Xenopus tropicalis: one gene and its partners. The protein of the gene in region 1 interacts with the protein of each later gene in a pairwise test. Links are inferred from orthologs where the notes say so. Each region holds a gene or a part of one and is shown in the gene's direction. Other genes may lie near its edges.

Evidence for each region.
Region 2: the proteins of ube2k (region 1) and rnf32 interact in binary tests that used the Homo sapiens proteins (3 or more experiments, as listed by UniProt). The link is inferred for Xenopus tropicalis from reciprocal best matches to the Homo sapiens genes UBE2K and RNF32.
Region 3: the proteins of ube2k (region 1) and E3 ubiquitin-protein ligase DTX3L interact in binary tests that used the Homo sapiens proteins (3 or more experiments, as listed by UniProt). The link is inferred for Xenopus tropicalis from reciprocal best matches to the Homo sapiens genes UBE2K and DTX3L.

Annotation. Positions count from the first base shown.
Region 1 is NC_030677.2:36,220,631-36,224,888, forward strand, and holds the start of ube2k (ubiquitin-conjugating enzyme E2 K), read left to right. Parts: upstream 1-1,446; 5' UTR 1,447-1,557; coding exon 1,558-1,620; intron 1,621-4,258. UniProt on the Homo sapiens protein: Accepts ubiquitin from the E1 complex and catalyzes its covalent attachment to other proteins. In vitro, in the presence or in the absence of BRCA1-BARD1 E3 ubiquitin-protein ligase complex, catalyzes the synthesis of 'Lys-48'-linked polyubiquitin chains.
Region 2 is NC_030682.2:17,285,354-17,288,871, forward strand, and holds part of rnf32 (RING finger protein 32), read left to right. Parts: intron 1-2,011; coding exon 2,012-2,154; intron 2,155-3,518. UniProt on the Homo sapiens protein: May play a role in sperm formation.
Region 3 is NC_030685.2:90,208,209-90,211,464, reverse strand, and holds part of E3 ubiquitin-protein ligase DTX3L, read left to right. Parts: intron 1-26; coding exon 27-259; intron 260-1,397; coding exon 1,398-2,837; intron 2,838-3,256.

The DNA of each region.
Region 1 (4,258 bases):
TACAGAACATAATGATTGAAGAAAGGCTTCTCTAAAGCCACTCTTGCGCCCTTTAGTGCTCTTGCACTTTGTCCCCTGGGGTCAAGAATGACCGCTATGGTATCATAAAGACTTTATGTCACATAATCAGTCCCAAGTCTCTAAAGCATTTGAAAATACCTTTTAAATTAAGAATGGTGGCTTTTAATTTTCCGCCAAAATTAAGCCATAATGACACATTGTAAAAGGTGTTACTATTTAAAGGTAATTTCTTTTGGGATGAGCAGCACCCCTTTAAGCCAGAAAATTAACTGAACTATGGATATACAGATATAGAATTCAAATCGAGGCACAAGGTATCTCTGGTGGTGCATTTATTTTAAGTAACTGGCACCACCCAAGGTATTAGCCTTTCCTTGTCCTTTAATAACTGTAGTGGCATGTATCATTTAACTGGCTGGCCTTTGCTATATTATCCAGATAGCATCTCTGCTTAGGAAAATGCACACAACCAGTGGCATGAATAGATGTCACTTGTCCCAAAAGAATTCAATTTAGGGGCCCAAATCGTTGGTAAATTGACCTATCCTATCAAGATATAGTAAAACTGCTCACTATTCAGGGCCGTGACATACAGGGAGATTAGAGCTGCCATGACAAATCTCTGTTGTTGCGGGCGACTAATCTCCCCGCAATGCCATCCCACCGGCTACAATGTAAATCAGCGGTAGGATGGCATACGCAGCGCCGCCATTTGCCAAAGTCGCCTTGAGAGGAAATGTCGGTGACTTCGGCATATCGCAGTGCCGTGTATGCCACGGGATGGCATTTGTTGTGGTGCAACTAATCTCCCTATGTGTCATGGCCCTTACTGGGCCCTCTACACTCCAGGGCCCCCCTGCAACCACATGGTCTGCCTCCTTTGTAGTTATGCCCCTGCTTTATTTTTTTTCTAGATAACAGATGTAGGTCATGACCAGTCATAGGACTTTTGAAAAGGAAGAGAACAAAAAGTTCCCATACAGCAGACTAAGCAGGAACTTCTGGATTTCCAATACGAGTCAGGTGACTAATGCATGTTGTGGCATATCTATTTTGCTGAGACAAATGCTTACTAGGGGCAGGTAGTCAGCCCATCCTCTAATAAGAATTGCATAGCTCTGGCAGGCTACGACCTTTGGTTTCATAGAAATCTGCTGCTAAAGCCAAACTTTACAACACTGCACGACTCTTCTGTTTAGCGCTGGGGTCCAGTGACACATCACGTGACTGAGCCCTGCATGAATGGAGCCCGGGGATTCTGTGGCGCGCTGTTACGTCTCATTTGTGGGGCGGGCCAAAGTGACGTGAGCAGGGACCCTGTCAGGAAGTTCTTCCTGTGGGCCGCCCAGACTCTTGTATTGCGCATGTGTCAGGTTCGCCATTTTGCAGTGTACTGTTGTGCTAGGTTTCGTTGTGCGGGGCGGGGGAGGCAGAGCACACAGGGCCGGCACTGCACGGAGGGAGGAAGCCTGGCGTACTTAACGTGCACTGCAGCAATTTAAGGTGACTCAGTCAAGTACGGAAACTGGGGCAATTATGGCGAACATCGCAGCACAGAGGATCAAAAGGGAGTTCAAGGAGGTGCTCAAAAGCGAAGAGGTGAGAGGAGACAGAAGTGCGTCTGGCTATATACAATGAGGGGCAACAATTGGTGACAGTGTGCTTAAGATAAATCCAGTAAACTGCTCTAAAGAGGTAGTATAGAAGGCTGCCACAGCCAGGCATGCCATGGGGAGGGACTATTGGAGTGTATTAGAGACTGATAGGGAGAGGGACTACTTGACTGTATTAGAGACTGCCTTGGAGAGGGACTGCAGAAGTGTATTAGAGACTGCCTTGGAGAGGGACTGCAGAAGTGTATTAGAGACTGCCTTGGAGAGGGACTGCAGAAGTGTATTAGAGACTGCCTTGGAGAGGGACTGCAGAAGTGTATTAGAGACTGCCTTGGAGACGGACTGCAGAAGTGTATTAGGGACTGCCTTGGAGAGGGACTGCAGAAGTGTATTAGAGACTGCCTTGGAGAGGGACTGCAGAAGTGTATTAGAGACTGCCTTGGAGACGGACTGCAGAAGTGTATTAGGGACTGCCTTGGAGAGGGACTGCAGAAGTGTATTAGAGACTGCCTTGGAGACGGACTGCAGAAGTGTATTAGGGACTGCCTTGGAGAGGGACTGCAGAAGTGTATTAGGGACTGCCTTGGAGAGGGACTGCAGAAGTGTATTAGGGACTGCCTTGGAGAGGGACTGCAGAAGTGTATTAGGGACTGCCTTGGAGAGGGACTGCAGAAGTGTATTAGGGACTGCCTTGGAGACGGACTGCAGAAGTGTATTAGGGACTGCCTTGGAGACGGACTGCAGAAGTGTATTAGGGACTGCCTTGGAGAGGGACTGCAGAAGTGTATTAGAGACTGCTTTGGAGGAGAATTACAGAAGTGTATTAGAGACTGCCGTGGAAAGGTACTATAGGAGTGAATTGGAAACTGCCATCAAGAGACTACAGGATTGTGTAGAGACTGCCATGGAAAGGGACTGCAGAAGAGACTACAAGATAGTGGTGTGGGGGTCAGGAAAAAGTCAACCTGCAACTGACCGTATCCCACAAATTGTTGCCGATATAGGATTTGCATTTAAAACACGTACTTGCGTCTTTCTACATTGTTTGCTGCTCTCGCCTTAGGTTCCAAGGAAGGGAAAGTTCAGGAGCAGAGGTGCTTCCCTAGTCTGACCCACACCCAACCTGAACCCACAACACCCCCCAACCCTAACCTGCCTGACCTAAGGGTAAAATGCAGGTTGTGGGTCAACCCGCTCATCACTACTACAAAAGTATGTTAGAGATTGATAGGGATAGGTTTGACATGAGTGTATCACGGGCTGCCATGGAGTTTTTTTTATGGGAGTGTATTAGGGACTGCCTTGGAACGATTTGACAGGAGTTTATTAGAGACTGCCATAGAGTGGGGCTGCAGAAGTGTTTAGAGTCATGTAGAAGGTACTAAAGGATTGTATTAGAGACATGGAAAAGTAGGACAGTTGTGTAGAAAAGACTGCAGTTCCCTCTGGCTCTCCCTTCCAACTTTTTCTCTCCTTATTAATGGCCCTTGAAATCCATTCAGTGAAACTTCAGAAATGAAATCAAAGGGGGATATTTATCAAAGTATTAAACTACAGCTTGCCATAGTCAGCCACAGTGAAATTTCCCTCATTATATTAATTTCTATTCAATTAGTGAAAACATATTTATCAAAGTGTAAACTCATTTATATGTATTGATAAATATACCCTCTAAAGTTTCATATTAATGTATAAAGAGTAGCAGAATTTCACTCTTGCAGACTATGATGACTTCTAGATTCAATCTTTGGTAAATATGTGGCTTCTGGTCATAATCACTGGGTAACTCTGTGAAACAGTGGAGTGCAAATTTGTTAACTGTAACTTTCTCGTGTGCGCTAGATCAAAGGCTGGCATTGCCGCATATCCTCCTGCCACTTTATGGAGAAACTTTCATTTGAGACAGCGTGCTGCCCATTCATTGAGAAGCTGCATCTAAAAATTGTTGCAGTTACAAATTAGGATTAGTAATATCGCTCACCATATTAAGAAATACACATTTTCTAATGTTATAAAGTAATTGCTTATTTCTTCTTTGTCCTCCATTTATTTTAGGTTAAGCAAGGGCCACAAAAGATTTTTAGAAAGTATCATAACATGCAGCACTACACCCCGTTTGTCTTCACTTAGCTTAAGCTGCAGTGTTCACCAGAGGTTTTTAGTGGTCATTTCTGCAATTTTACTTTCTCCATGAGCAGCAGAAGCTCCTAGCCCTGGACATAGGGCTAATGTATTTGATCTGCCAGATGGGTCAGTAGCCTGCTGACTCAATCAAGAATCGCAGCCAGTATTTGCCCTATGTATGGACACCTTAAATTCTGAACCTTTTATTAGGCTGAACCTGGTGCAGCTAGTTGGATTAGAATGCACATAATATCTCAGTGATACTAAGTGATATTTAGTAATACACATTGCTTTTTTTTTTGACGAGGGTCTGCTCAAGTTGTGCAAATAGATAAGTCCAGCTATGGCTACAAGCAGCCACAAAAGCTGTCTTGACTTCTTAGTAGAAAAATATATCCCCTTATTTTATTTTCATTTTCTTTATTGTTGGTGTATTTATTGGAATTTGGTAAATTATTAAAAGGGGAATAACACTCTAAAGTAATTTTATTTATTTTTTA
Region 2 (3,518 bases), on another chromosome or scaffold:
ATGGTTAAATGATTCCCTTTTCTCTGTAATAATAAAACAGTACCTGTACTTGGTCCCAACTAAAATTTAATAATTCCTTATTAAATGCAAAATAATCCTAGGGGGTTTAATTCTTGTTTATATCATTTTTAGTAGGCGTATTGTATGGAGATCCAGATTACAGAAAGACCGCTTATCTGGAAACCCCATGTCTTGAACATTATGGTAACAGATCGCATACCTGTACAGTCATTTTATTACAACTGTTTTCCCTTAGAATTTAGGTGGCCAACACACCAAGTTGGCAGCTTATCGGCCCATTTATGGGGCCATTATAAGGGCCAAACAACCTATATCTACCCAAAAATCAGCCAGATGTTGATCAGGCAGGTTTTAAAATGCCATCAACATGATTTAATCGTTAAGCCCTTGGGCCAAAACAATTGGATCAATCCGATATCACCTAACTGAAGGTGGGCATATCGGGGAAAGATCCACTCATTTAGCCACCTTGCCAAACTAGGAGATCTTTCAGTACTCATGTGTACAGAACCTTGTTATTCCATGGCATACACTGGTCTATGTGTCCTTTATTTCTGCTTCAGATTTATTTGCTGCCATTTGTTTAGAGTAATGTCCCACGGGGTGATTAGTCGCCTGTGATAAAACTTTGCTACCGCAGTTGACAAATCTCCACGAAAAGCCTTTGTGCCTGCAATACAGGGAATCGCCGGTGGAAAGGCCTATGCATCGCTTCGGTTTTAAGTTGAGTAAAGTTGCCTGCAGGAGGAGGCTGTGTGACTTCAGAAAACCGAAGCGATGTGTAGGCCTTTCCACCACCAATCCCCTTTATTGCAGGCAGAAAGGCTTTTCAGCAGAGATTTAACGCAGGCGACTAATGTCCCTGTAGGACATTACCCTTAGAAGTTCCATTATAACTTGAAGATTAAAGTCAAACAGAGATCAGTCGACCAAGGAGACTCCCTGCAGCCTTGTGTTATATGTAAGGAGGAGTTTGGTATCCATCCCCAGGTATGTACATACAGTACTCTGTATAGGAGGGAATATGAGCATTGTATTTGGAATCCATTTTCAGGTCTGTGTTAGATTAGAAAGAATATAGTAACACCATGAAAACATAATAGCTTTTTTCTGTATATAACACATTGAAAGCCTGGGTTTCTTTCATTTACTCTCATTCACGCTACCTTTGGTGAGCTAAATCCCCCTATAGTAAGCAGGAAAGCCATGTCTTTAGGTAGAAGTGTTAATGTATCCAACTTCCTCTGAGAAATGCATTCACCCTTAAAGTAAACGTTTAACTTGGCTTTTATGGAAATATTGTGATAGCAGAATTCAGCGCTTCCCTGCTCACTCACTGGATCGTTCCATTGTTCCATCCCGCTGACAGTATTATTACTCTGCACTCCTTTGGATTCTTCCTGCCTGACTTACGCTCAGTGTCATACAGTAAGGAAGGAAATAGGGAAAACTGAATCCTATATTTCGCCATCAAGCAAATTTTTTAGCAAAACCCCAGCAAAATTTTGTGAGAAAAATTACTCCAATGCATTTTGAAAAAACTGAAAAAAATTGGCTTCAATGTATTTTTTTAGTTAAAAGATTTTAAATGGAAATTTCCCATTTTGTCTCCAGCACTGTGTGGGCTTCCCTGTAACATTAAAGATCTTCCTACAGACTCTTCCATTATTCTTTATGGCATAACCCTTTCTGGTTTTCAGTCTGGCTGGGCCCTCTTTGCTCAGGGCTGCAAGTAACTATAGCCACACATAAATAAATGCTGGAATTATTTTGCTTACAGTACCTCTTGCCACTTACTTGAGCAGGGTGCAGTGGGCACAGTTTACTCATTACACTAAGCACTGTGTGGCACTATAGGGCGGTACCCAACTATTGCCACTCTAACCGACCTGCCTTGTACATAATGTATATATGAGTGCTATGTAATACAGAAACAATGCTGTGCCTAATGGGAGACGGTGGGGTACCTAACACCTTTCTCTTTATAAAGCTCAGAAACTGGGCATCGTTGGGGCCCCTGCTCTGCCCTTAACACATGAAGAATGGATTAAAGTCAAACAGAGATCAGTCGACCAAGGAGACTCCCTGCAGCCTTGTGTTATATGTAAGGAGGAGTTTGGTATCCATCCCCAGGTATGTACATACAATACTCTGTATAGGAGGGAATATGAGCATTGTATTTGGAATCCATTTTCAGGTCTGTGTTAGATTAGAAAGAATATAGTAACACCATGAAAACATAATAGCTATTTTCTGTATATAACACATTGAAAGCCTGGGTTTCTGCCTTTATTGCCCTATGAGAGTAGGCAGCAGTTATAAGTGAATAGACATTCTAGGCAGTTTGGGAATGAAATGATTCATTAAAAGAGGGGAGGGGATCATTTTCAGGAAATTGGTTCTGGGGAGGCGACATGGTCATGATAACATTTTTAAAGAGCAAAGTTTTCCCTGATCCAGAAATCAACTGTGAGTAACTATATGATTGTTCTGAGCACTAAAGCCAACTGTAAATTGACTGCAGTGGACAACTGGCCATTGTTCCTATTATATAGAGTAGAGAATTTCAGCTATCATGTTTCCCTACAGAAGTGATCCCCAACCAGTGGCTCAGGGGCAACATGTTGCTCCCCAACCCCTTGGCTGTTGCTCCCAGTGGCCTCAAAGTAGGTGCTTATTAGTGAATTCCTGGCTTGGGGGCAAGTTTTAGTTGCATAATAACCAGGTGTACTGACAATCAGAGCCTCCTGTAGGCTGCCAGTCCACATAGGGGCTAACTTGCTTGTGTTGCACCCCCAAATCTTTTTACATTTGATAGTGGCTCGCGGGTGAAAAAAGGTTGGGGATCCCTGCCCTATAGTATATGCATTAATCATAGTAGCACTAGTGCAAGGGAGACATTTAACTAGTTAAAGATGTTTGTTTTTACAAAAAAATGCATGCAGTATTTAAGCAAAAAGGAAAATGACTTTACTGCCATCTAGAGAACACTTAAACAGATTACAGAGCCCTCAGTTATTTTTTTATACAAGTATTATACACTACTAGCAATACCGTGTGTATAAAGTAATTTTAGTCTTAATCCATAACTGGGCTGTGCAGGGTATTCCACTCAGCACTTGCTTGTGTATGTTAAATGCAATGTTTTATCTATGTCAGGCAGTGATCTCCAACCAGTGGCTCGGGGGCAACATGTTGCTCACCAACCCCTTGGGTGTTGCTCTCAGTGGCCTCAAAGCAGCTGCTTATTTTTGAATTTCTGTCTTGGGGCAAGTTTTGGAGGCATAAAGACAATGTGTACTGCTAAATAGGGTCTCCTGAAACCTGTCAGTCTACATTGGGCTACCAAATAACCAATAACAGCCTTTATTGGTCACTCCCTTTTTCCATGCTTGCATTGCTCCCCAACTTTTTATATATTTAAATTTTGCTAACCGGTAAGAAAGGTTGGGATCCCCTGATGTACACGAAAGCCCATTGTGCCATTACCCTGCCTA
Region 3 (3,256 bases), on another chromosome or scaffold:
GTTTATCCCTCCTGTTTTTCTTGCAGACAAGGACAATGTATTGAAGAAAAAGGATCATAAAATTTCTTTAAAAGCCCCAGAAGGTGCTGATCCAGTGTATGTGGACCTGAGATTATCTGAGGAAGAGGATGGGAGCCCAGTGAATATGGAGGCCGAGACTTACAGCGAGAGGAAGGAAGAGCCTCATAGAGTTCCCCAGACAGCTGCCCCCCCGGGGCAAAGGGGAGTGAGTTCAACCCAACTGGATCCTTCTCAGGAGGTACCAACCCATCAGCACTTTCCCTATGTGGTTCTGTTGTGTGAGTCCAGCAGGGTTGGGTTCTGGAGATTGTAAGTCAGAGTCTGGCAGCAAGCGATGTAAGAAAATCTCACTTGGGGTTTTACCCCCCATGCCGACCCCTCTTACCCATGTTACTGGCTGGCACCTTGGGCTTGGAGGCCGGGCCAATTGGCTTAGAGATTCAGGTCAGATGGAAATGGGGGTTCAGTCAGGACCTTTCCCACCCCCAAGGGCCCCTTTAGAGAGCAGTGCCTTAATGGGGGTGTGAGTAGTACTGTGTAACTTACTATAGAGCTATTGGCACATTCCCAGTTGTACAATAAGGATCGACCCATTCTGCCCAATTGGCTTCCCATCAGCCCCTGGGGGGCAGTGCTAGACTCATGGGACTCATGTAAAGATGCTGTAAGTGTGGCAGATCCACAGACGGAACCTCATCGTAACGCCGCCATTTTACGATATATACATGCAAACTATGGCTATTGCTTACGGCCAATCGGCATTTTCCTCAACATTCCCTTACGGTGGAGACATTTTGGTGTAGAAAATGTCTGAAAAATGTCACTAATTGTCAGAAAGGTTGTTTATACCGCACAAAATAGCCACGCCCACTTTTTAGCAACATTTTTTTGAAAATTGTCTTTAAAGGTAGAAAAATGCTGGAAAACTGGTCTGTGATTACGTCGGCGCAAATACGACAATTTTCTGACATTCGACAGGAGTCGTTCTTTCCCAAATAATAATCAGTCTCATCCATGTGTGTTACAGTGACTTTGGGGGGCATTCAGGTCCAACTGGGGCAAATAGCCCCCATATTTAACCCCTGCAGTATATTCAGATTCCCAGTGACTTTCAGGCTTAAGTGCTTAATACCCTGGGACCTATAGGCAGATGGGTAACATGATGTGGCTGTATATGACTGTACTAAGTATCAGCAGCAGTTACACAAGACAGGGGGGGCTTTAACCAAATGCAATGAAACTTCTGATTTAGGGCGTTGTGTCCCTTTAACTGGGGGAGGAGTTTGTGTCAGTGAGTAGAAATGACCTTTATTTGCGCTACTTTTGTTAATTTTTCATTAAATTCCCTATAAAGTTTCTGGTTTTTTTTTTTGCAGATATTCCCTGAGGTCACTGCGTTTATAGGCCCCGCCTTCCGCGCATTGTTGGAAAGTGCAATGGAAAAGAAATTATTTGCATCTGTTAAAGTGAGAAACGGATCCGACGGGAAACTGGAGGTGACCGGCTCCTTCTCCGCAATTAAACAGGTGCACGACTATCTGAGGGGGCAAATAATGGGCCCCAGTGACCCCAGCTTCCTGCCCTCTGATGGGGGTAACGGGCCCCCAGCGCAAGGGGAAGATACAGTCTCCGTTCCGCCAGGTTTATACCAGTACTTTATGGAAATCTACCCGGATACGGTTGAAAAGATAAGGAACCGATTTAAGGTGGAAATGAGGGATTCCAGCAGCTCCTCGGGGAACGAAATACGTTTTATTCCAATGGGGTCCGATTCCAGCGCCGAGAAAGCCGGTCGGTGTTTCACCGACGCCATTCAGAAGATAATCGCAGACTGGAGTCAGATAATAGTGAAATTAAGTGAAACGAAGGTGCCGGCGAGTGAGGTCGGGCGCAGAGTGCGGGAACATTGCGGCAAAACGCAGACCATAATGGAGGGGGACACGGTGACGCTGAGGGGCCCCGAGCGGGAATTAGCCCAGGCCAAGAGGCTGTTAGAGGAGGGTCCGACTGAGCCCCCCGCGCCCCACAGGGTCATTCCCATCTCCATCGGCAACATGAGCCGAGACCTGAGCGTCAGCGGGAGCCAATGGGAGATCCTGAAGGAGCTGAAAGCCAATCAGATTCGGGAAATAGAAGATAAATACGATGTAACCATAACGGCGAGTGGAAATAACGGGGATAAAGGGAAAGTACAGATCCGTTTCTGCCCCAGGAATGGGCCCCCCGACCTCGCGCCCCACGCCTGCCAGATCTTCCTCTGTCTCTGGCACAAAACTCTCTCCAACATCATCACGAGAGAAATCAAAGTGAAACCAGAATTTCCGGAAACCCAATTGTCTTCAGTCCAGGAGCGGCTCATACAGAACCAGATAGAGATCATCAGTACCTGGCACAACGGATCCCTGGATCTGATTGGGTCCCCGGGTAACATACACGCGGCCGAGAAGTTGTTGGGTCAGTGGCTAAATGGCGGTGCCTCCGGCGCAGAGGGGGAGGAGCCAATGGACACGGGCGAGGGCCCATCCACCGAAGTAAGAAAGAAACCTGAGGAAGAGGAGGATAAGTGCCCCATCTGTATGTGTGAGCCGAAACCCAAACTGGTGCTGGAGAAATGCAAACACGTCATCTGTGCCGGGTGTTGGGAAGAAACCAAGAAGCACAAACCAGTCTGCCCAGTGTGTAACGTCCCATACGGACTGGTCACAGGGAACCAACCTGACGGCACAATGACCCACTCAACATCCAACATGCCATTGTCCGGCTATCGCTGCGGCACCATAACCATTAACTATTCTTTCCCAAATGGGGTACAGGGGGTGAGTACCTGATCCTATCCCCTCCCTCATATAATAATGTGTCTCTGTTCCCCCCTACATGGGCCCCCCCATATCCCACATGGGTCCCCCCATATCCCACAGACACTGCCCCAACCCTGACATTCTTTCCATGGCTCCTATCCGTCAGCTTTGCCTTCTTCCCAGGGCTCCTATCCGTCAGCTTTGCCTTCTTCCCAGGGCTCCTATCCGTCAGCTTTGCCTTCTTCCCAGGGCTCCTATCCGTCAGCTTTGCCTTCTTCCCAGGGCTCCTATCCGTCAGCTTTGCCTTCTTCCCAGGGCTCCTATCCGTCAGCTTTGCCTTCTTCCCAGGGCTCCCGTCAGCTTTGCCTTCTTCCCAGGGCTCCTATCCGTCAGCTTTGCCTTCTTCCCAGGGCTCCTATCCGTCAGCTTTGCCTTCT